Linked DNA regions of Macaca fascicularis. The protein of the gene in region 1 interacts with the protein of each later gene in a pairwise test. Links are inferred from orthologs where the notes say so. Each region holds a gene or a part of one and is shown in the gene's direction. Other genes may lie near its edges.

Region 1 (4,485 bases):
AGGCTCTGCTACTTTCTGGTTTCTCCGTAGAGCAGTCCCACATCACACCGAGCAAAGCAGTTTTCTGTTGCTAGTCTCCTCTCCGTATTGAAAAGTTTTGGGGGATGGGAAGGATGCAGAGACACTGGGCCTGGAATGGCTCCTTAGATGGTGGGAAGGAATAAAGTGACTCTGTTGACCTTGGGTCACATGCACTGTAGACTTAGGGAAAGTCCTGAATGGCAGAGTTACTAATGACTATCAAATCACCTTTTGCTGACTCCCGTGGCAGTCCTGGATAGCGTCCTTGGCATACTTGATTTCAGATTTTGACAGGTGATAAAAGCACATCTTGAGATTGCTGCTTCACAGGGCCCAGATTCCTTGCTATTGACTGATGTTATTTTTGCCTTTCCTGAGAAGCTCCCTCATGTGTTTGCTGTTACTTTTAATGGATTGCTTCCTGATACATAGGAGGCCCAGGCACTTGCCCTTCAATCGGGCCAACTGCAGCCTGACCTGGGTGGAATTGGAGCTGCCTGAGGAACACTTAGACCAGGCGCTTGGCAACATGACTCACTTTTTCCCCCTAAAAGTTAGTCTGTAAAGAGCAACTGGAAATGTTTACATCTTTGTGGAGTGTAATTTTAATCAGGATTCTCAAGGTTTTTCACCTCAATTCTCTGAATTTTTAAGATCTTAAATGCCCTGTGGTCACAGTATTTGGCCCTGTACTTCTGGGGGCTACATGGAAAATGCTTGATGATCATGACTGACTTGTCAATAGTAATTATGCCAATAAACAGAAAAGCCTTCCAGTTCTGGTCTGTTGAGGCCCTGCCGTTAGGCCATTGTTTTCCCAAAGGCTCTGCGGTGGGTTCTCATGGGATATCTTTCATTGGTTCTTTCTCTCCCTTTTCCTCAGAGGGCCACATTTTCTGTTTTGTGCAGGAAATTCCCACTGTTTTGGGTTCCCCAGCTACAGTTGGAAAGACATCAGAGTGTTCAAGGCGGAGTCCAGGCCTGAGATCTCAGCAGGCCAGACAGACAGCAGATGCTTGTTACTTTTCTTGTTATATTTTTCGTTCCTTGCTTAGCACTTATGGGACCAAAGCCAACAAACAACAGGTTGTGAAAAGAATGAGAGTCATTTGGCTTCTGACATTGATTGGGGCTCGGGGTTTTTGGGTGTTTTGTTTTCTGATTTGAAACTAGCTGTTTGGTAACCACTAACTCTCGCCTTATTCTTTTCTTGCAGATGAGCTCACAGTGCCTGCACTTTACCCCAGTAGCCCTGAAGTGTGGGCCCCGTACCCTCTGTACCCAGCGGAGTTAGCGCCTGCTCTACCTCCTCCTGCTTTCACCTATCCCGCTTCACTGCATGCCCAGGTAATTGATACCCATCGGCCACGACTTCACTCACTCCACCTCCAGTCCTTTCAAACTTGGTTCCCCAGAGCACACCATACAACTAACACCTATCCAGCTAACAGATCCACCTTCAAGAGATTAATGATCCCCTCTAAATCAAGCTGACACTCCTTCAGGACTTACGAGGATCGTCTGACAGCAATGATATCACCCACTGCCTGATGTTTGCCCCAAATGACACCTCTCTCTTCCTTAATGATCTCACCTCATATCGCACATGAGAGACTGGGGCAAGTTTATCCACTTGGCTCCCAGCTAGCTAGAGGGCATCACCGGAGCGTACACGTGTGTGCCTTGTGTGGAAGGGCTACAGAGGAAGGTGTGTGCTGGGAGCAGGGGATATGTGCGTCTGTGCGTGTTTCTGTGTGTTGAGAGTTTTCCACTCTCGTGTACTGTGAGAAGAATCTCTGACCAAAGGGAAAGCTTCCATGGGCGAAGGCTATACTTTCTTAAATATGTTACAGGAAAGATTAAGGGTTCCTTTTCTCCATTTTCAGGAAACCCTGTAGAAAAGGAGGTACAGGATAGTGTCTAAGATGGAATTACAGGTCAAGGTAGAGATCTCTATTCTGACCAGCTTGCTTTCTTAGTTAAAAATAGCCTGATTTTTATAAACAAACTTCCTGTTTCTCCACAAAGGTTACTATCTACATACTAACACTTCCTCTCCCCTTGGAGAAAATATTCTCTTAGCTGTGCTTTTAGCGCAAGTAGTAGTAATCAGTGTAAAGATTCACCTTTGGAGATCACTCATTCTTTGGCCTGCAAAGATTGATGACCAGTAACAAATAGAAAGTACGTATGTAGGTTTCATTTATCTTTCTGCATGTGTAATTCAGCCTTTAAATTTTAGATTTTCAAAAATGATTAGGCTGGACAGGCAGAGTTTTCATTTGCTTGTTTTGCTCAGTGTTTGTTTTCAAGGCTGGATGAAATAAACAGCTTCCCAGAAAACTTCCTTCTGACTTAAAACTCTTTTATGTTGTACAGAATTCACTGTCTTGATAAAGACCACCTAGAAGCAGCCCTCGGTGAGGGTTCTCGAAAGTCATGGGGTCAAGATTGTTGTTGGCTGAACATCTTTTAATTCTTTTCGCTGAGTTACCAACACATTGTGCGTGCATTGACGACCCGGCTTCCTGGGCTGCCTTTGGTGCCTGAGCCCCAGTAATGATTGCCCTCTGTGTTGGGAGAAGAAGGGAGAAAGTAGTACAAGTAGTGAAGAAAAAAATGTAGGTGGTGGTGGTGGTGAGAGTACATGGCACAGAAAATAAAGGAGCCAGGATTACTTGTGCCTTTGGCTTCTCCTTCCCCTGCTGCTTTTTCTTCCTTTTTCCATGTCAATGCTTGAGAACCCTCACAACTGGCAGGTAACGGGGTGAGGGGATAAAATGTAAACCTGTGGGTTTCTCTGCTGAGTCATTAGGATCTTTGTAGCAGGCTGCGGATAAATGTGTGGATGACATGGGACAACTAAGAGCCCCTTTTGCTTGCCACCTCCCACCCCTGCTCTGGATGGTGTCTCCTCTTGCTAGACTGCCGGGTACAGATCACGTGGCAGTTAAGGCAAATGTTAATAAATACCGTGAAACAGTGGTTTGCATAGTCTTCTGAATAGCCATATCAAGAGTTGACAACGGCCAGAAAGTACTGGGAATGGTGGCTTTTGGATATGACATCTGCCCATTCTTCATTCATGTAATGGGTAAAATCAGAAGTAATTCTGGAGATACGGTATGGTAAGAGAAGGGCCTAAAGAGTCTCAAGAGATTAGAAAGCACATGCCATTGTAAGGAAGGATGGGGAGAGACAGTGCCAAGATTAGATGGACTCAGCCATTTGACTTAATGGGTTGTATTGCCCATGGTGGCACCCTCCCCTGGGAGTTCTTGATCTTGAGACTTTCCCAAACTGGAATCCACTTAGCTCTGCCACATCGGTCCCAGATTTGGTGGGACTCTCATCTGATACCAGTTTTCAACGCCACTTCTTGTTTGGAGTCATTCCCAGTGCAGGCATGGACTCTGTGAACACATTCCGTTATTTAAATTTATTTGTGCAGTATGAGAATCAGAATGAGCTAGTAGAGGCTCTACAGATCAGCTGGTCTGACCCATTTGACAGATGAGGAAACAGGCCTGAGAAGATGGAGGGAGCTGCCCACAATCTGTGGCTCTGCCATGACTAGACCCAGGTCACCTGCCTCCCAGGCCTGACTCTTTCCACTCCGAGGTGTTGGCTCACCACAGACTTATTCTTTAATGGAATTTTGGAAAGGCCTCACTCCAGTGACTCCTTGGATCTTTCTTCTCTAAGTAGATGGGAAGCCTGTAAGAAGAGACTTGGAGGCAAAGCAAAGGGAATCAGCACTTAACCTTCACCCAAAGGGCCCAAGAGAATCTTTATTAACTGGAGGTAGAGCAGACTGGAGCCTTTACGGGGCATCTCCCCATATTGGATAATTCAGTTTTTGTTTTGGAAATCTTATAATGTCTTTGGAGAGGCTTTAAATAATTTTGTTTTTCTTAGCAATGTTATGCTCTATTTTGAGACATGGATTTTTTTTTTCTTCTAGTGTTTCTCTCCTGAGGCAAAGCCCAACACACCTGTCTTTTGTCCACTTCTCCAGCAAATTAGATTTGTCTCTGGGAATGTGTTTGTAACATACCAACCTACTGCAGACCAGCAGAGGGAGCTCCCATGTTGAATTTGTTAGCTATCTTCCCCCCTTTCGCAAAAACTATTTCTTGACGACCTTTGAGAGATTTCAATAAAAATTTTAATCAGAGCAAAAATGATCTCAAGTAGACTGCAGCGTTTTGTTTTCATGGTGATGCAATGTTGGAGCAAAGGTGTTACTCTCTGACTGAGGTTTTGGGAGAATTGGGCCTGTGACACCAAGTCTATTTTACATAGAAGGACTCAGAACGAGCTTGCTGGAGAGGCCAGGTCCCGGAGCCGAGGTCACACCACTGCTGCTTCTCTCTGCCTGGGCTCCCGGAAGAGCCACCAAGAGCTGCATGTTGGAAGCATCTCATCCACCAGGAGACCTCACTTCAGCAGGGATGCTGCATC
Region 2 (5,191 bases), on another chromosome or scaffold:
GTCGAATTCTGACACCAGCTAAATCATAGTAGACATTGTGAATTCCGAACAAAAAAGGCGTTTAACATATTCCTACAAACAAACGTTGAGAGTTAATTCCTCAGGAAGTTGGACTCATGATAATAATCGCAATTGATCCCTTAATAACTTTCAAATTTTATTTCTATAAAAGTCATAATTTTATGTGTTATGGAATAATTATTTTTTTAAAACATGCCTTTCAAATACTCATGAAAGCTGTATAACTCTACCATTTCACAAACTATTTCTTCTTACCAAGTGATGAGGGCAAATGCAAATGTAGCTGATATGCAAAGTATGGTCTTATCTCTGTAATTTTTGTTTGTGCCAAAAACAAATTACTATCATTTTATAGAATATTTTCTTTTGTTTACATATCATTTTACTGTGTGAATTGATAAGGGGTCTGTGATTCATCATGAAAATATTTTCAGTCTATAATCCTAAAAGATCACTAGCAAGTGAAGCATTAATAAGGAGCTTCATCCCACTTAAAGAAATACCAGTTTTCTTAGATTGTTCAAATTGATTACAAATGAGTTCCATCGAATGGAAATTGGATGACATCGTATGGGCAGTTTTGAAGTCACTTCAGTAGACAGCCTTCCTAATCATTATTGCCTGAGAATCAGACGCTAATGGAGTACAATGTGCTTTCTATCCCCTATCTGAGACTTTAATTCTGTGAATCTTTTTTGTAAAGTTCAAGTTTGTGGTGATTTAAGTTTATATGAGTATATCAATAACAATAGCTGCAACAAGATGAAGTTAGTAATTACTTCCTAAACATAATATATACTTAAATATAAAAAGTTTGAGGTATCATATATTATTATTGTCTAAAAAGATGATTTATTAAAAATCAAATAAGAAGGTATGACACTGTATATACTCTTTTAGAAAAATAAGGTTAATTTATTTCTTTAAATATTTTAGTCAAAGCCACTGTATCATCTCTATATTTCCTATTAAAACACTCGAGTTAATCATATCGGTTATGATTATTAGAGAAGCATGTTATAAAGGAAACAGTTTCATAACCCTCCACTTCCCGTTCCATCCTACATACTTCTGTTGGATTGATCATGGAATTACAGAATTTTAGAAATCTCTAAGTTCAAACCCTAGTTTTACAGGTAAAAAAATGTAAAGCCCAGGAAAGGGAAATCACTTGATCAAAGTTACAGAGGTAGAGAACTCTGGTCTAGAACTCAGTCCTCCAAAAAATGTATAGTCATACACTTTCTAGTCCGAAAACAATCAATTGTTTTCTGTTGTTTATAAAGCCATGCCTAGCTTTTTCACCCATCATTAACTTAAAGGTGTTTACTTTTTCTGCTCTAAACTTTCCTTCCAATCTTGTATTTCTCTTCTCATACAAGATTCCAATCAAATGTTCATGGTGATTCTCAAGACTTTCTCCTCTACTTGAAATACTTCTCTCCCTATTAAACCCTGCATAGGCAAGCCTCGCCTGTATGTCATTTTCCCACACAAAGACTGCTGCTTCTCTTAACTGAAACTTTTTTAGTAGAAAACCACTTTTGTGGCATTTTCTACTTTTTTCCCTCTTACAGTTATTCGTGTATATTTCAACACTCTTCCTAAAATTGATGCTACTCATTGCATCATATTTACCTTGATAATCTTAACATTTGACATAGTAATGATAATTTTATAATTCCATTAATGCTGTCAAAAATTAAATTCAGAAATTTTTTTACTCCAAGTTTGAGTTTTTACATTCTTTTGTTAAAATAAATTTTTCCACATTGGCTAAATCTACTTGTAAATCTGGCTTTTTTTCTTAATCAAAGCAAACATTGTATTCAAGTCACTCCTAAAATTCTAGTAACAAATTATTCTAAATTAATTTTTTAAATGTATCTTTAGGTGCAATAATGAAGAGTTTTCTTCTAGTTGTGAATGTCCTGGCATTAACCCTGCCTTTTTTGGTAAGTTAATTTCATCTAACCAGTTTGTACTGACTTTAAGAAATTTTTATTTAAGGGCTCTAACTATTCAAATTTCTTAATACAGTTATACCTCATAGACCAAAATATCTACAAACTTGTTATATTTAAGGTTAATTTTTTAAATATTATTTCTATTATAAAATCAAAGTCATGTTCTTTTGGATATCCATTTAGTTCTGTGAATTAAGAAATCATAGTTAATCATATATAGGAAACTTTTAAAATTCTCATACTATAGAGAAAATACATTCTGTGGGGAAAACAATACTGAAAACATTTTAAAATTATAAATGCATTAAAGATAATTCAGAAAGAATAACTACAGAAATCATAGTCCGGGAATCAGAAATTATTTTAATTAAGTTCGTATCTCACCCAGACTCCAATGTCTTTATGGAAACAAAATCCTTCAAAGGTCAACTTTGGTTAAGCTTTTTCACAAGTTTCAAAGACCTTGATACTTCTGCCTTTAATATTCGAATCATTATCTTTTGCTACATTCTTCTCCATTATGTCAATTGACTGACCCCTTTCCAGGGATCCGTGGCCATAAACAGCTTGAAGGTTTGCAGGCATTATCTTGAATTATGTGCAATGTTTTAAGGCTACTGGACCTAGAAAAAGTTCTGTTTTTGTCTTTTAATTTTTTGACTTGTTTTTATTGTTGTTTTGGCTATTGCCTCTTTTTATTTTCATGTTCATCTGGGGATTCTAGGCACTCACAAAGGAGGCAAGCATAATAATGGTATATGTCCACCTCCTGGATTGTAAAATTTTGGGGAGCACTAGTCCTTGTTCTGTAAATCTCTGTAATATTTATTTATTATTAAGTTTAGACTTGCTTTTAAGTTAACATCTATTAATTAATTCTATTATCTGCATGTTGTGCCTATGTATAACATGTCTATTAACTCTATTAGGTCAATTCTTGGAGTCAAAATTACCTTTTAAAACTTTGAGTTCTACAACTCAGATACTTTGTGGCCACCTGAACATTTAGAAGTTAGGTTTTCTCTTTGAGTAATAGGGCTTAAAGTTTAAATCATAAAATGATCCACAAATCCCTGCTGCATAGCAACCTGTTCCTGAGCTACCTGAGCCAGATTTGTCTTTCAAACATTCCTTCCCATTTTCACAAAGGCTTCAGGCCTCAGGGACATGAACAAATATACAGAAAAAAATAATTTAAGTTTATTGATTTTTACCATTCAATCTTATGAGCAGTCAAATTTATACAAATTAAAACATCAATGTGATACCATCTTTTATGTACTATTTTATCCCTTCGCCCAAAATGAAAAGAGTTAGATAATATTTTACTAGCAATTATGTACTAAACTGCATAAATACATAGCCTATTGGTGACATTTTAATTTGGCACAAATTTTCTGTACCACAATTTGATAATTTCTATCAAAGAATCGCTGAAAACTAATGACATTTGTGAAAAATCTTTTTAAGGTATTAATGAAAATTATTAAAAAGGCCACTGGTATACAGATGTTAATCATCTGTCTGTTTATAATTAAAATTTTATCTTAATAGATAACAATAAGAAATAAACATTTCATGACATAATCATTGACAACTTAGTTATCAACTATAAAAATGTAGGTATGAAACCTATGATATAAATTTAAAAAAATGAGATACCACATTTCTTATAAAAACGCAGGATACTTTTTAGACAAGCATATACCAGGAATACATAGCATAGGTTGATATTGCATTAAGGTATCCAGATTGTCAGAATTTTTTAAAGTATACTTTCTATAATATTCATATTACTTCTTTTTTTTTTTTTTTTTTTTTTTTTTTGAGACAGAGTCTCACTCTGTCACCCAGGCTGGAGTGCAGTGGTACGATCTTGGCTTACTGCAACCTCTGCCTCCCAGGATCAAGCAATTCTCCTGCCTCAGCCTCCTGAGTAGCTGGGACTACAAGCTCCCGCCACCATGCCCAGTTTATTTTTGTATTTTTAGTAGAGGCAGGGTTTCACCATGTTGGCCAAGCTGGTCTTGAACTCCTGACCTCAGATGATCCACCCACCTCTGCCTCCCAAGGTGCTGGGATTACACAGTGAGACACCATGCCCAGACTCATATTACTTCTTTACATTTTAAACCAATGATTTAATATATTTAAAGAAAAGCAAGTCTTTGTCTTAAAGCAAGGAAACTTTATTACCTTCTCAAATTTCTGATTTTCTATACTCACACCTTCCAAAAGGTTTCTAGAGTCATTTTATACCCAACGAATACATGTGTAAAAACATGTCCTAAACCAGAACTGCCAATTTAAAACTATTTAATATTATACCTCCTTTCAAAAGTTTCTAAAAGCTTTGGAGTTTTTAGTTTTATAAATACATGTCCATAAAATTGTGTTCTCACTCCTGATTCTCTAAATATGTCACAATTCAAAACTAAGAAAAGCACTATAAAAACAAATGAAAGATGGTATTTAAAACACATATTTATATGTTAAGGTTATGCAAGAGGCAATATTTTAAATCATCTAAGTAAACCTTATGAATCATCTTAGTATGAGAGCAGAGAAAGGAAAAAAGGCTCAATACTCCTCTAATTTTTAACAATGTATATTTAATAAAAACTGAATAGAAATTATTCATACTTTTCATTTAAGTGTATTGTGTATTTGCTGGCACAGCGGTCAGATGAATAGATTTTTCCCACAGTGACTTTTTCATTCTAGGTGGTTATATTTAAAGACAATATAAACATGAAGTTTATTATTACTAATCAGTTACACTACTGTTGCTTCTTAAGTAGTCCAACAAGCCTCATAGATCAATCATGAAAAATGTTTTAAAAAATAAAAAAAAAACATATTTTGCCTTTAACGCAAAATTTTATTTAACTGATTTAAGTCTTCCTTTTTTTTTTCTTACTTCTTCTGGAACTCCCTAGGCTGCAGAGGTTCAAAACCAGAAACAACCAGCAGTAAGTCTATTTCAGTTATTTCTATTAGAGGCATGAACTGCAAAATATATTCTGTAAAGGTCAGTCATACTACAGATGCCTTCTGTCTAAAACTTAAATATTTCATCTCATTAAATAATCTAATAATATTTCCAAAATTCATTTCAGCAAAAGGTGATATGAATCAACATTGACGTTCTAGCTGAAAGTTTTGTTTTCTTATATAACCTGTCATGTATCTTTGGTTTTCAG
Region 3 (3,171 bases), on another chromosome or scaffold:
CTTTTAGGAAATTTGTCTTTGATAAAATACTTATAAATCTCACAAAAACTCAACAGCATGTTCCAAGTCATGTAAATTAAATAAACTTTTAGTTGTCAAAGCCAAGAGACAGGTGCTGCATGGAGATTAATCAAGAGTAGGCTCAACGTTGTATCTGTTTCACTAACTCAACGAAGTCAGCTGAGGAACTCTATGAAGCCCAGGGCAAATTTCTTTACATATGTTTCTCTATTCTGTGTCATTTCACCATGGCGCCTTTATTTTGAAAACTTTGAAGAGAATTTCAGTTTTAGGATACCCTTTTAACATTTCAGAAAGCCATAGGAGTTGGAGGAAATTTTTTAAAATCCATCCCCTAAAGTATTTATCCTTTGAGTTACCAACAGTCTAATTATACTCAAGACCTTTTAAAATGTACAATTAAGTTGTTATTGACTATAGTCACCCTATTGTGCTATCTAATAGTAGGTCTTATTCATTATTTCTAAGTATTTTTGCTGGGGTGGGGAGTTGAGGATGTTCAGTAAGTACAAAAAATAGAAAGTTTTAAAAATGATACTTTAATGAACAGATGAACAGATCTTTAATGATATTTAATGAACAGATACTTCAATGAACAGATCAGTAGGCAGTGGTTAGAAATTACCTCAGAATAAATGAGCACAGGATAGACATAGAAGAACATCAGGAAAGACGTTATAGTGAATACAAAGAAGAGGTAGAAAAAAAAGCATTGAGAAAAGTGGATGGAAGGCAGAGGGGGTTGGGGAAATGTATGCAATAAACTTCTACCTGGCTGTTTCTATAGATGTTGAGAAAATGGGAAGAAAAATGAAAGCTGATGAGAATGGAAATAGAGGTCATATATATACTACTGAAAAAGGATAAAGAAAGAAATTGACTGGAGTGTGCAAAACAGAGGCAGATGCAATCTGCAATTTTACTAGGACTTTGAATAAAACCAATTATAAAGGCGAGTGTTAGGACTTGAATGGAAAACTGAACTACCGCTCTGATAAGCCTGCATAGGAGATGGATTTTGTGCCCTCAATTTCTGAAATTAATTCTTACATATTTTGCAACCAAAAGGTTCTGAAGCTGGTATACAAAGCCAAAAATAGTATAAAAGTTATTGTGAATAAAATGCTAAAAATCAACATATGCTTTTTTTGAGTCGTTTGGCTATTGTACACAGCAGGGCATTAAAATCATTTTGATTTCAAATGTTTTCCTGTATTGTGAATATAGGCATTTTCTGAAGACTTCACCTTGATAAATAAGTTTGCTTTTTAAAACTACAGATTTAACATCTGTAAATTGAAAAAATAGCTGTAAATTCAGTTGAATATGAAGTTATCAGTTTGGAAGATGATGGACAAAGGAAATGATTCATTATAAAAGAAATACCATAAAGTGTAGATGATGTAATACACCTGGTAATAGGCAATTCTGTTGAGCATTTGGGATGTGCATATTTTGAACAGTCAGCCATTTCTTCTCATAAAAGCAAAGCAGTAAGTTCAATCGTGTCCTGAATAAGACATTAAGTAAGCTGAAATATTTTAATGAGAATGAGGGCCTCTCCCTGCATGAGAAGACAATAGATAAATGAGTTGTAACATCAAACGTAATACAAATAACTACAGCAAAGGAGGGTATACAGATGACTCATCACATGCTCTGACCAGGGTATATAAGCCTCTTACACATGCTGGCATTTACACTGAGGATCTTGCCTTGAGCAGCAAACCAACTCACCACTCCTGACACCATGAACTACTACGGCAACTACTATGGAGGCCTGGGCTACGGCTATGGAGGCTTCGATGACCTGGGCTATGGCTATGGCTGTGGATGTGGCGGCTTCCGCAGACTGGGCTATGGCTGTGGCTATGGAGGCTATGGATACGGCTCTGGCTTCGGGGGCTATGGATACCGCAGCTGCCGCCCGTCATTCTACGGAGGATATGGATTCTCTGGATTTTACTGAAATCCTTCCCTGACAACCTAACATGAGAGGCCATAAGATCACCCAAACCTGACTGCAATAACAAAAGGACGAGGTCACCCTGGATCAAGCCGAGATCAAGAGCACTTAGCATCTGAGAGTTTTAAGAATACCTATCATTCCATAATTCTTTGCTTTATGTCTCTGGATGTGTCTTACTTGTACCTTTATAGCTGTGGGGCTTCTCTCTTCCTTTTGGAATAAAGTATGTTGACTTAAAGCAAATACATGGCTTTTATTTTTTGCTTGACTCAAAATGGCAAAGTGGTTATTTATAATTATATCCAGTGAAAAAAGAACAAACTATATACATATAGAAGTATATTATATATAATAAAATAATTTTGTATATACATGCACCTATCTATATAGCTGTATGTATGTGTGTGCATGTATATATCCGCATTCAAAGGTCACAGTTGACCCTTGAATAATGTAGGGGTTGGGGTACTGATTCCTCCATGCAGTTGAAAATCCACATATAACTTTTGACTCTCCAGACACCTAACTACTGGTAGCCAACTGTTGACTGGAAGTCTCACTGATAACATAAACAGTTGATTAACACATACTTTGTATTTTATATGCATTATACACTGTATTCTTACAATAAAGTAAATAAGAGAAAAGAAAATGTTATTAAAATAGTAAGGAAGAGAATTTATATTTACTGTTTGTCAAGTGGAAGCAGCTCATCATTCAGGTCTTTATCCTCATTGTCTTCACATTGGATAGGTTGAGGAGGAGGCGGAAGAGGAGGAAGGGGGACGTTGGTCTTGCTGTCTCAGGAGTGGCAGAGGTAGAACAAAATCTGAGTATGAGTGGATTCACTCAGTCCAAGCCCATGTTGTCCAAAGTAAGCTGTACATGCACAAATTAAAACCATAACACTCAATTAAAAAGAATCTTTTTTCTTTGGACTACTGTGCCGTATTGACCATATCTTTTTCATTTCAATGCTTTCAGTTAGATGTTAGTGTTTAAATTCAGCCCTGAAATACCAACTTTATAAACTTTCAAATCTCAATGGAGACCAACATGAAGAGTATGTACTTCCATAGTTTGTTCAAAATGTATGTTTATTTGGCCCTTTCAATGGTAAGAAATGTAATGATAAGACAAAGTATGTATCTGAAAATACACTGAAAATGAACTTCTTTTTG
Region 4 (4,922 bases), on another chromosome or scaffold:
CAGTTAAGGAAAGCTTCCTCCCGGTGGCTTTCATCCCACAGGGACAGAGCCTCAGATGTGCCCAGGGACCTCTGAGCAGCCATGGGCCACGGGGTGACAGTTGGGGGTGGTGGGACCCGTGGCTGGCATATACCCCAGGTAGACGGTGGCTTGTCCAGGCAGAGATGCCCAGGGGAAGGAGGTGGCACCTGAGGGCAAATCTGGCTTTTCAGGAGAAGCTGAAAACACGGGCTTTTCTGTGAAATCTCTAGATTGAAAAAAGTGGGCTTGAAAAGCCTCAAGCAGAGGGAGTGAGGCCTGCCCCCCATCCCAGCTCTGTGGGCACACCCTGGTCAGACAGCCCTGCTCCAGACCCAGCCTCTGTCTCAGGGTGGCCCAGGAGGGGGCTTTGCAAGGTGACGTGGGGGCTTGGAGGCCCCGTTTCCCTATGAGCCTGGGTGCTTAGGGGATGGCCCTGGTCAGACTCCACCAGGCCCAGACTTGGGGCACAGGAGAAGGGAGATGGGCCACCCAGTTCTGGTTGGGCTGGGGTGGGGCTTCTGAGAGGTGGGGAGGTTGTCCCTTCCCACCCACCTGCCCCAGTATTCTTGGCTGTGAGCAGGAGGATGTGTACAACGGCCAAGTTGCCTGGACTCGGTACGCCCCTCTGGGGGTTGTGAGTGCACAGGGCACTGGTGAGCGGCCCACGGGGGTCACGTGGCCCACGGGGGGCGTGCAGATGAGTCGGAAGGAGCTGGGGCCCACTCCTCCCACTTCCTTCTCTCCCACATCCTCCCCGGCCCCCTCCCAGCTCCCCCCAGTAAATCCCCTCAGGCTCCAAGACCTGGAGGGACGCAGCAGGTTTATAATCTCAGCCTGGAAACCACATGACCTCCCTGTTTCCCACCACAGCCCCCCAGGTTTCAGAAGCAGTTGAGGACGCCCCTCGCAGGGGAGGGAGGGACAGTGAGAAGGGAGGGTGTTCAGGGCCCAGGGAGCCCCCGTAGAGGCTGCCCCATCAGAGCGCACTGGGGACCTGTGGCCTCCTCTGAGATTCTGGCCTGGGCAGTGGTCATTTGAGCATCGGTTACCAAGGCTGCCTCCAAAATGGCAGGCCGGGGTCAGGCCAGCATGAATGGGGCTGGCAGGAGTCCTGCAGGGGCAGCTGTGCTGGGGAGGGGTCACCCTGGGCCCTGAGAGGCACAGGACATGGTGATGGGGTGCTGGCCTACCAGAAGCACAGATACGGAGCTGGAGCCCAGCAAGGCTCCAGGGGCCACTGTCCTGTGCTGTGAGGGGCTGTGCTGTGCCAGGGGAGGCCCCACACCCAGGAAGCCCGGAAGAGAGTGTGCACTCACGGAGCCCTCCTGCCAGGGCTGCATCTCTTGAGCAGCAGACCCCTGTGTCTCCCTGGGAGGTCCACTGTGGCCTCACCACAGCCCTTGTTGGAGGGCACATCCCTGTGTCCTCAGCACCCCAGTGTTGAGCGTGTCGACCTGCAGAGGGGAGCCTGTGCTGGCCCCAGGCATCTGTGTGGCTCGTGGGTGCCCATCTGCACCCCTGGCCCCGCTCTGGGCTTCAGTGGAGCTGTGCCACCGTGGGAGTGTCCAGGGTCCTGACGTAGCCCTGGGACGTGGCCAGCTCCCTGGCCTGCTGCCCGCACAGTGGGCCCTTGTCTCTGCTCTGGGTCAGGCGAGGCAGCCACCCATGATGAGCTCTGCAGCCTTCCCGAGGTGGCCGGTGAGTCCCTGCCCTTGGCACCCCCAGTGCCCTCACCCCTCTACCCTGGTGCTCGGGGCCAGGACCCGCTCCTGAGGGATCTGTCCCGCTGGCCGGCTCCTCTGTCTGGGGGTGCTGGATGAGTCCCACCGCTTGCCAACCCCAGGGTGGCTCCTCAGCTCTCAAACAAGGGGCGGGCTGCATGGATTCCGAGGGCCCCTCCAACAAGAGGTCCCACACGCGTCTCCCAATGGGACAGTTTCCTGGCCCACAGGGTGGGTGTGACACTGAGGGTTCCTGGGGGCAGATTCAGGGCATGGGATGGAGGCAGACGGATTGTGAGAGGCCCAATGCAGGGGGCCGGCGCCAGCCCACAGGGTCGTTCTGCAGATGGGCTGGTCGGGGATGCTCTGCCAGGTGAAGGGTCTGTGGCTGGAGTCTTCACCCTGGCCAGGGCACAGGACGTTCACAGCGCAGGCTGAGGGTCAGAGCCGCCGAGGGCCCCCGCCGGGATCCTGCGCAAAGCTTTGGCCTCTGCACTTTACGTGGGCGCATGTGACTGCCCCTCGCCAAGGTGTTCCTACACCTGACGGGTCCCAGGACAAGAAGTGCTGACTCCAGAGGGTGTGTGCGGAGGGCCTGGGCTGACCTCAGGGCTCTAGGGGGGCCCACACAGGATGGGCTGCGAGGGGTGGGGGTGGGGGGTCTGTGATGGCCCCCTGCCAAGCCAGAGTGAACCCTACAACCGGTCCAGGGGTCCAGGGGCCAGAAGGCCAGGTTCTCCTGGAGGTCCCATCTCCCCTAGGCCTTGGTTTTCCCTTCTGTGACTCCACAGCCCTGAGAAGGGCCCTGTCAGGGAGGGCGGGGGCACTGGTTAATGTCCAGGACACAGCCGTCCCAGTCAAGCCAAACCTCTGAAACATGCTGAACTGGCCGCACTGAGCAGGGCTGGCCTCTGAGACGGAGGGGCCTGCTGAGGACACAGAGGCTCTGTGGAACTCAGGGCCTGGCTGTGGCAAGGATACCCCAAGCCAAGTGTGTGGCAGCCTTGTCCTCTCTGTGGGCCTCAGTTTCCCCTCTGTGCAACGAGGGGAGTGACCAGCTGGTTTCTGGAGCCTCCTTCCCTCCCTCTCTGTCCCCAGGAGCGGGCCTGGGCCTCATGTCTGCAGGGGGTGCTGACGCCGGCTCCTGTGGCCCGGGCCTTGGGGAGGGAGCCAAGTGCCGAGAGAATGTCTTGCTTGTGCCTGCTCAGCCCAGAGGGACACGTGGCGTCTGCACCTGCTTCCCGCTTGGGCACAATTGCCCTTTGAGAGCAGAGCCAGGGGCTTCTTGGGGACAGGAAGCTGCTCTCAGAAGCCGCACACTGGTGGTGGGGGAGCAGCAGGAAGGGGCCGGCCAGCTGTCCTAGCCAAGAGCCTTTCAGGAACCGGCGGCCCAGGGCAGAGGTGGCTGGAGGTGGAGCTGTCTGTTCGGGCCTCAGGTGTAGGGGCAAGGCCTGCCCGGGTTTTGCACGAGTGTTGCGCCTTTACCTGGGTCTCCATCGGTCCCACCTGACTCGTGAGTGTGCGTGGGTCCCCGTTGTAGGCAGGCGTTGTGCCCTGGCCAGGTGCGGTGCTCAGCATCCAGCCATCTCCCTCCTCCCTCCTCCCCTTAGCCTCCCATCCAGGTGCCCCGTGTGCCCAGCCTGGGTGACTGGCCGTGGCTCTGACCGCTCCGAGTCCTGCACGGTGGGTACCAGCGTTCCCACCTGTCTGCAGCTGCGCCACCTCCCCGTGCCGGGCTGTGCGTGCTCACGCACGGCCCGGCCTGGATTTGTGCGGTCAGACAGAGAGACCCCCAGGCAGGTCCCGCCTGCAGCAAGCAGACCCCATATGTGCCCCAAATGCCCGCTCACCCGGCCCCTGCCCTGGTGGGTGTTGTCTGGGAGCCCCACTCAGCTTTGGGGCTTCTGATTCCTGTGGGTGCTTCTCAGGTCAGGGCCTGCAGGTGCAAAGCACCAGGCAGTGGGGTGGGGGCACTATGGGGCCAGCTGCCCTGCAGGCAGGGGTCTGACCGCCGAGCACCTGTCCCCTGCAGGATCCCTGGCTATGGGTGACCCGATGACGTTCAGGAAGTGGGAGTGGGTCCCCTGTCCCCATGGCTCCCAGCAGTCCCTGTGAGCTCACCTCTTTGTGTCTCTGTTTGCTGTGGCCTCTATTCTGGGGACACTGAGCCTCTCCTTGCTTGAGGTTTTGGGTCCTGATTGTCCACATGACCTCCTGCTGGGTGAATTCCGGGATGACCCTGTGTCCTGGGCACATGGCTGGCAGGGTCCCGGGGCTCTCCGGCCAGCCTCCCCTGCACCTCCGCACCAACTAGCCTGGCCGAGGGTCAACTCCCAGAGCCGTGTTGAGAGGGGAAGGTCTGATTCCATAGACATTTGGGGTACAGGGGTTGTGAGGGTGGACTGGGGAGGGGCTGCTCCAGATCTGGGGTGAGGGAGTCAGAAACAGGCCTGACCCCAAGGTGGGTACAGGAAGAGCCCTAGGTGTGGGCAGGAGCTGTCTGCACCTCCTGAGCCCCTTCCCCAATCCAGAGGAGGAGCGAGTGTGGGACTCCCTGGGCCTGCCTTGCTGACCTGTGGCCCTGTACTGACCAGCAGAGCATGGGGGCCCCTCATACCCCTTCACGGACAGTGCTCTTTGAGCGGGAGAGGACCGGCCTGACCTACCGCGTGCCCTCGCTGCTCCCTGTGCCCCCTGGGCCCACCCTGCTGGCCTTTGTGGAGCAGCGGCTCAGCCCCGACGACTCCCATGCCCACCGCCTGGTGCTGAGGAGGGGCACGCGGGCCGGGGGCTCCGTGCGGGTGAGTGGCCGGGCCCACTGGGGCTGCACACCCAGGGACAGGGGCGGGGGTGGCGGTGGCAGGCGGGTGCCCGAGATAGAGATGAGCAAACCAGGCTCAGCTGTCTCGGGTGCCCCACGGGGGGCTGTGCCCAGGTCCCTGGACATCCTAGTCAGTGGCACTTCCTCCTCTGGGCAGTGGGGCGCCCTGCAGGTGCTGGGGACAGCAGCCCTGGCAGAGCACCGGTCCATGAACCCCTGCCCCGTGCACGACACTGGCACAGGCACCGTCTTCCTCTTCTTCATCGCGGTGCTGGGCCACACGCCCGAGGCCGTGCAGATCGCCACGGGAAGGAACGCCGCACGCCTCTGCTACGTGGCCAGCCGTGACGCCGGCCTCT
Region 5 (5,201 bases), on another chromosome or scaffold:
CCTTTCTGACACTTCCCAGTTGTCAGCAACTTTGGTGTCTTTTTTTGTTTCATTTTTGTATTAATATTTTTATATTGTCATAAAATATAACAATATTTACCACGTTAATCATGTTCTAGTGTTCAGTACATGTTCTAGTGTTTAGTTAATAATGTTCTAGTGTTCAGTCCTATAGTTCAGTATAGTATGAACTACGGATGCACCTCATGCAACAGATATCTATATCTTTTTCTTCCTGCAAACCTGAAACACTATACCTGTTGAACAACGACCCCTTTTCCCCTCTCCCCAGCCCCTGGTAACTGTTATTCTACTTTCTGTTTCTAAGAGTTTGACTACTTTAGATACCTCCTATAAATGGAATCACTTTTTGTGATTTGCAACTGGCTGATTCCACGTAGCACAAGGTCCTCAAGGTTCATCCATGTTGTAGTTTATGAAGGAATTTTCTGCTTTTTTAAAGGCTAATTGTCCATTACATGTGTATACCACATTTTCTTTATCCATTCATCCATTCTAGTGTCTTTGTTTTTGACTTATGGGTTTCTGGAAGAGACTGATGAGAAAATATATTTTCCATTAACCCAAGAGAAAAAGTGATCCTGAATGCTGGAATTTTTAAGGATGGTTTAGGTTCTAGAGACTAAAAGAGAAATCATAGAAAATGCAAAGGGAAATTAGATTTAAAAAAATTAGTGACCACATAAAGAATGTCTGCTATTATATCTTCTCTGAGCACGAGAAACTACTAAACTACTTTTAACCGAGCAATAAGGGCCCATAATAAAAAGCTGTTACCCTAGTTTTTTACTACCCTACTCAATACCCCTTCTTTCATACCCTCAAAATAGCTCAGTTGAGAAAAGAAACAGTCCAATTTTACAGAAGGGAAAAATAAATAGATAAAAGGATAAGCAAGAACTCTTTTTAACACGGAGTAAGGTACTGGTTAGAATTTTAATACTGTATGGAGGCGTCTAACCCCAGAGTAATCCCTGGCCCATTTTGGTGTTAGTAAGTGGATCCCAGTGTTCGTTTGTATTGAGGTAGTTTGAAGCACGCTAGGGATATTCATAGCCTTTACTTCAGTGCATTATTATGAAAGAATCTAAAGTATCTTTGCATTTACATGATTATGTTTTCAGTTGGTCTGCGGAGCTATTATTAAATGTGTCCATAATGTGTACAGAAAAATCTTCAAGTAAACTAGCATTTAACTCACCAACACATTAAACCCCCATACATAACTTCCTTTAAAAACGATCACACTAAAAATCCCAGCATTTAAAATCCTGAAGTTTTCGCTAAAATACGCTAAATATAGCTCGAAATAGTAAATAATCCCCCCAAGGCGACATTAGCAAATTAATTGGTGTGCGAACAAAGAACCCTTTCTGCAGCGGCATGAATGTTGCCTTTATTTTTTCTCACAAGTATGATTTTAGAAAACAGCAGTAGCGCATGTTGACAAATGACAAAGCGGCAGTCGTGGTAAAGCACTTTCGGTCAAAGCCAAGAGGGGGGAAAATCGGGTTGCTGGGGCGGCACTCGTGCTGGAATCCCTAGCTTCCCTAACCTCCTTTTTCCAGTCCGGAGTGAGCGGGGGCCCCATCGCCCCACCCCCCTTTCCTGGCTCTGGTTACGGCCTTGCGAGTTGAACAAACTTGCTGCAGGCGGATTGGCGGTCGGGAGCTCTCGGGCTGGGGCGTTGTATTTATTAATTTATATTCCGCGGCGCCCCGCGCGGGCCACTCCTTTGTGTCCGGCCGCCGCCGCGGGAGCTCCGGGGCCTCGGCGGGGAGCGCGTTCCCTGTGTCCGCCCGACCCCCGGGGCCGGCACGTGCTTCGCCCGGTCCGCCGAGGGGGCGGAGGCCCCGATCTCCCCGACCCCCCTTCTCTGCCTAGAGGAGGAGGAGCAGCGGCAGCAGCAGCAGCAGGAGGCGATAGCTGCCAGCCGAGGAGGCGCGGCGGAGAGGGGACTGCGGTCAGCTGCGTCCACTCGGGGCTGCGCGGCAGTCCCGCGCCCGGCGATGTTCCCGGGCAGTCTCTGAGTAGCAGCAGCTTGCCCCCCGCCCGCTAGCCCACCCTGGTGTCCGGCTCGCTTGCTGGCTGGCGCGGCCCCGGCCCCGCTCTGCGTCGGCCCCGCCGCGGTGGAGGCGCGCGAGAGGGACGCGGCCGGGGATGAGCGGATTGCGGGTGAACTCGCCGCCCGGGGGCCCCGCGAGGCCGTAAGCCGCTGCTTTTCTCCGAGTCGCCGCCCTGCCCTTGGATTTGAGATCATGTACGTACGCGCCGCCGTCCTGCCATTGTCTCTCTCCAGCGCGTGCCGTGCGCCCCAGGGACGGGGGCTGGTGCCCATCCTAGCCGCGCGCTGTCCCCCGCACTTCCTGTTCCGAAGAGAGACCCGCGCGCTGACCGTGCTTCCCTTCTCCCCTCGCCCCCTCTCTGTCCGTGCAGGTCCATCCACATCGTGGCGCTGGGGAACGAGGGGGACGCGTTCCACCAGGACAACCGGCCGTCGGGTCTCATCCGCACTTACCTGGGGAGAAGCCCTCTGGTCTCGGGGGACGAGAGCAGCTTGTTGCTGAACGCGGCCAGCACGGTCGCGCGTCCAGTGTTCACCGAGTATCAGGCCAGTGCGTTTGGGAATGTCAAACTGGTGGTCCACGACTGTCCCGTCTGGGTAAGGAACAGCAGCTGCTCCACGCCAAGGCTGAAGAAGCTTTTCTTTCCTTTTTTGCCCCCTCCCCCTTCTGCCCACTTCCGTGAGTGTGGAGTGTTCGCGTTACATGGGTCAAATTTTCAAACATTTTTGAGAAAATATTCGGTCCTTTGTTTCACTGGGCAGGGCACAGCCCCGTCAGAGAAGACTCTTAGGAAGATAGAAGGCCCCAGTGGGAATGTGGAGCACTTACTGGTACACTTCACGACTGTGGGTTGTCCCTTGGGAGGCAGCTGACAGTTGAATGTGCCAACTCCAAGGGACGGGGTCACTAAGTTTCACCAGCAGAAAGCAGTGTTTTTTTATGCCTACCCTATGGGTGATAGTGTAATATTGGTGTTCTAAAAATATAGCCTTCTCAAAGCTCAACACAGGCAAAAATACTTTTCATTGGGACAGTTCAGAAATAGTTCCTCTGGAAAGCGGAGGAAAAGACAGGGACTGGGAGTTAATTTTAAATGACTCATTTATAGCACTATTAATTGATCTCTGAAAACTTTTAATTTTAATAATGCAAATACTCTTTATGTATTAGCCATTTGTCTTAGTGACTCATAAATCAGAAATAATATTACTAATGTTGCTTGGAAAACTTAAAAAATTAAAATTTGTAATAATTGAACAAAATTGTAGTGAAGTGGATAAATTGTAGCCCGATTCTTGAGTGTTTGATTAAGGGAGAAAGGAATTTACTTTCTGACACATATAAGTATTTTCAGTATACAATAACATTATGTTTGAATGTTTTCCTTTGGTCTTATTTGAAAATCTCTGACTCTTTACTGATATTGGAGTTACGTATGTTTCAGCTAAGTTTACATTTAATAACAGAAGAAAGTTTAGTGCCTGAAAAAATACGAATTGTCATTGTGTGAGATTTCACATTTAAACAGCAATTTTAAAAACTGAATCAGGGCTATAGGAAACTATCATGCCTTTCTAAAAAATGTGTAGAGTGTACTTGGAAAAATTTTTTATGCAAAATTCCATGTAACAGAAAGAAGATCACTCGCTTGTGTAAGTTTTCAGTTAAAGAAGAAAGTTTGTTAATTTGGTAAAATAAAAAACAGACCTTTTCAGTTAAGAGATGCTATTAAACCCCTAGTTATGACAGTGATGACGCTGGTCATAAGAAGTGTGATGGAGAGCTTACTGACCAGAGTCTATGCAGGCAAATGAAACACTTCTTTTACTTGGACTCTTTCGTCGTGAAAGATCTTACAGCCTAAAAACATAACGGTTCAACATGCAGTTGAACAAATGTTTGGTGAATAGAGTAAACGTAGGGAAAATAAAATTAGCTACATTAGGATGTTAGGATTGCTTTCCCTATATTTAATTTGAGCTGTTAACACTTTCCTGTTTATATTGTTAATTTTGCAAACAGCAATGCTTGTGATCCCATACACTTTGTCTAGTAAAATGAAATCTTCCAAATGGAGAAAATAAGCCTCTATGGTACGGATTTTTCCCATATGCTGGTTGTTATGGTTTATTTTGCTAATCACTTTTTGTTTGGTTAGACTCTGGCCCTATTTAAGGCACCAAGTTTGTAACCCGGTACAATTTGCTGGGCTATAATGATCTTCAGATATGAGATTCCATTTCTAGAGTTGCTCTTTATAAGGTGCTTTTCTTCACTTGGTGGTAAGTAAAGCCCATCAGAGATACTAAAGCTGATTGCATTAATAAACTGTTATTTGATATATTACGGAATCAGAATATTACATAGAGCAGATAAAGCACAGCCTTTGATATCAAAAGGATCTGATTTCAGATTCTCACATTGCCATTTCAGGTCTGCGTGTCCTTGTTAAATCACTTACCTTCTCAGCCTTATTTTCCCTATCTATAAAATAATCTGCCTCCTAGAGCTGTGCTGAGAAGTGAATGAGAAACTAGCACGCATCACGTTCTAAGTATAGAGGCTGACATTTAGTAGCTGCTCTATAAGTGGTAGCTAATATAAAAATAAAGTGTTTGTTATAACTTTAGTATAGTTATGTATCACTTGTATTAATACTAAGCAAAAGTAAGATTTTCGCAGGTCATTCAAGATGTATACAACTACAGTACCAGTACACTGGGGCAGCGATGTTCATTCTTCATACATGCAGCCCCACATTCAAGTAAAATAAAATAGTTTCACTGTAGAAATTCAGATTTTTTTTTTTAAAGATGAGTTCAATTCTCCAAATGTGGCTCCAAGCCTTGTGTTGCATAACCCCCTAGAGGAAATCCTGGAACTGATTTACAAGTGGTAGGAGAATTTGATTTCCTTCATAATTCTGGAAATCTTTGGAGTATTTTCTCTTTGACATAGTTTGAGAAGAGATGTGTTGTTGTTGCCTTGAAGTTTATTTTTTTTATTTATTTATTTTTTTTTTTGAGACGGAGTCTCACGCTGTTGCCCAGGCTGGAGTGCAGTGGCGCGATCTCGGCTCACTGCAAGCTCCGCCTCCCAGGTTCCCGCCATTCT

Evidence for each region.
Region 2: the proteins of RBPMS (region 1) and CSN3 interact in binary tests that used the Homo sapiens proteins (3 or more experiments, as listed by UniProt). The two-hybrid records come from large-scale screens. The link is inferred for Macaca fascicularis from reciprocal best matches to the Homo sapiens genes RBPMS and CSN3.
Region 3: the proteins of RBPMS (region 1) and keratin-associated protein 19-5 interact in binary tests that used the Homo sapiens proteins (3 or more experiments, as listed by UniProt). The two-hybrid records come from large-scale screens. The link is inferred for Macaca fascicularis from reciprocal best matches to the Homo sapiens genes RBPMS and KRTAP19-5.
Region 4: the proteins of RBPMS (region 1) and NEU4 interact in a two-hybrid assay, tested with the Homo sapiens proteins (2 studies listed by BioGRID and IntAct). The two-hybrid records come from large-scale screens. The link is inferred for Macaca fascicularis from reciprocal best matches to the Homo sapiens genes RBPMS and NEU4.
Region 5: the proteins of RBPMS (region 1) and RHOBTB3 interact in binary tests that used the Homo sapiens proteins (3 or more experiments, as listed by UniProt). The two-hybrid records come from large-scale screens. The link is inferred for Macaca fascicularis from reciprocal best matches to the Homo sapiens genes RBPMS and RHOBTB3.

Annotation. Positions count from the first base shown.
Region 1 is NC_088382.1:33,745,356-33,749,840, forward strand, and holds the end of RBPMS (RNA-binding protein with multiple splicing), read left to right. Parts: intron 1-1,237; coding exon 1,238-1,368; coding exon of another isoform or gene 1,369-1,515; exon of another isoform or gene 1,516-2,368; intron 2,369-3,985; coding exon 3,986-4,117; 3' UTR 4,118-4,205; downstream 4,206-4,485.
Region 2 is NC_088379.1:63,740,223-63,745,413, reverse strand, and holds the start of CSN3 (kappa-casein), read left to right. Parts: upstream 1-1,922; coding exon 1,923-1,976; intron 1,977-4,927; coding exon 4,928-4,960; intron 4,961-5,191. UniProt on the Homo sapiens protein: Kappa-casein stabilizes micelle formation, preventing casein precipitation in milk.
Region 3 is NC_088377.1:16,491,553-16,494,723, forward strand, and holds keratin-associated protein 19-5, read left to right. Parts: upstream 1-1,720; 5' UTR 1,721-1,771; coding exon 1,772-1,990; 3' UTR 1,991-2,202; downstream 2,203-3,171. UniProt on the Homo sapiens protein: In the hair cortex, hair keratin intermediate filaments are embedded in an interfilamentous matrix, consisting of hair keratin-associated proteins (KRTAP), which are essential for the formation of a rigid and resistant hair shaft through their extensive disulfide bond cross-linking with abundant cysteine residues of hair keratins.
Region 4 is NC_088386.1:137,746,918-137,751,839, forward strand, and holds the start of NEU4 (sialidase-4), read left to right. Parts: upstream 1-1,653; 5' UTR 1,654-1,686; coding exon 1,687-1,719; intron 1,720-2,152; exon of another isoform or gene 2,153-2,322; intron 2,323-2,840; exon of another isoform or gene 2,841-3,425; intron 3,426-4,336; coding exon 4,337-4,543; intron 4,544-4,720; coding exon 4,721-4,922. UniProt on the Homo sapiens protein: Exo-alpha-sialidase that catalyzes the hydrolytic cleavage of the terminal sialic acid (N-acetylneuraminic acid, Neu5Ac) of a glycan moiety in the catabolism of glycolipids, glycoproteins and oligosacharides.
Region 5 is NC_088380.1:99,720,747-99,725,947, forward strand, and holds the start of RHOBTB3 (rho-related BTB domain-containing protein 3), read left to right. Parts: upstream 1-1,932; 5' UTR 1,933-2,279; coding exon 2,280-2,281; intron 2,282-2,457; coding exon 2,458-2,683; intron 2,684-5,201. UniProt on the Homo sapiens protein: Rab9-regulated ATPase required for endosome to Golgi transport. Involved in transport vesicle docking at the Golgi complex, possibly by participating in release M6PRBP1/TIP47 from vesicles to permit their efficient docking and fusion at the Golgi.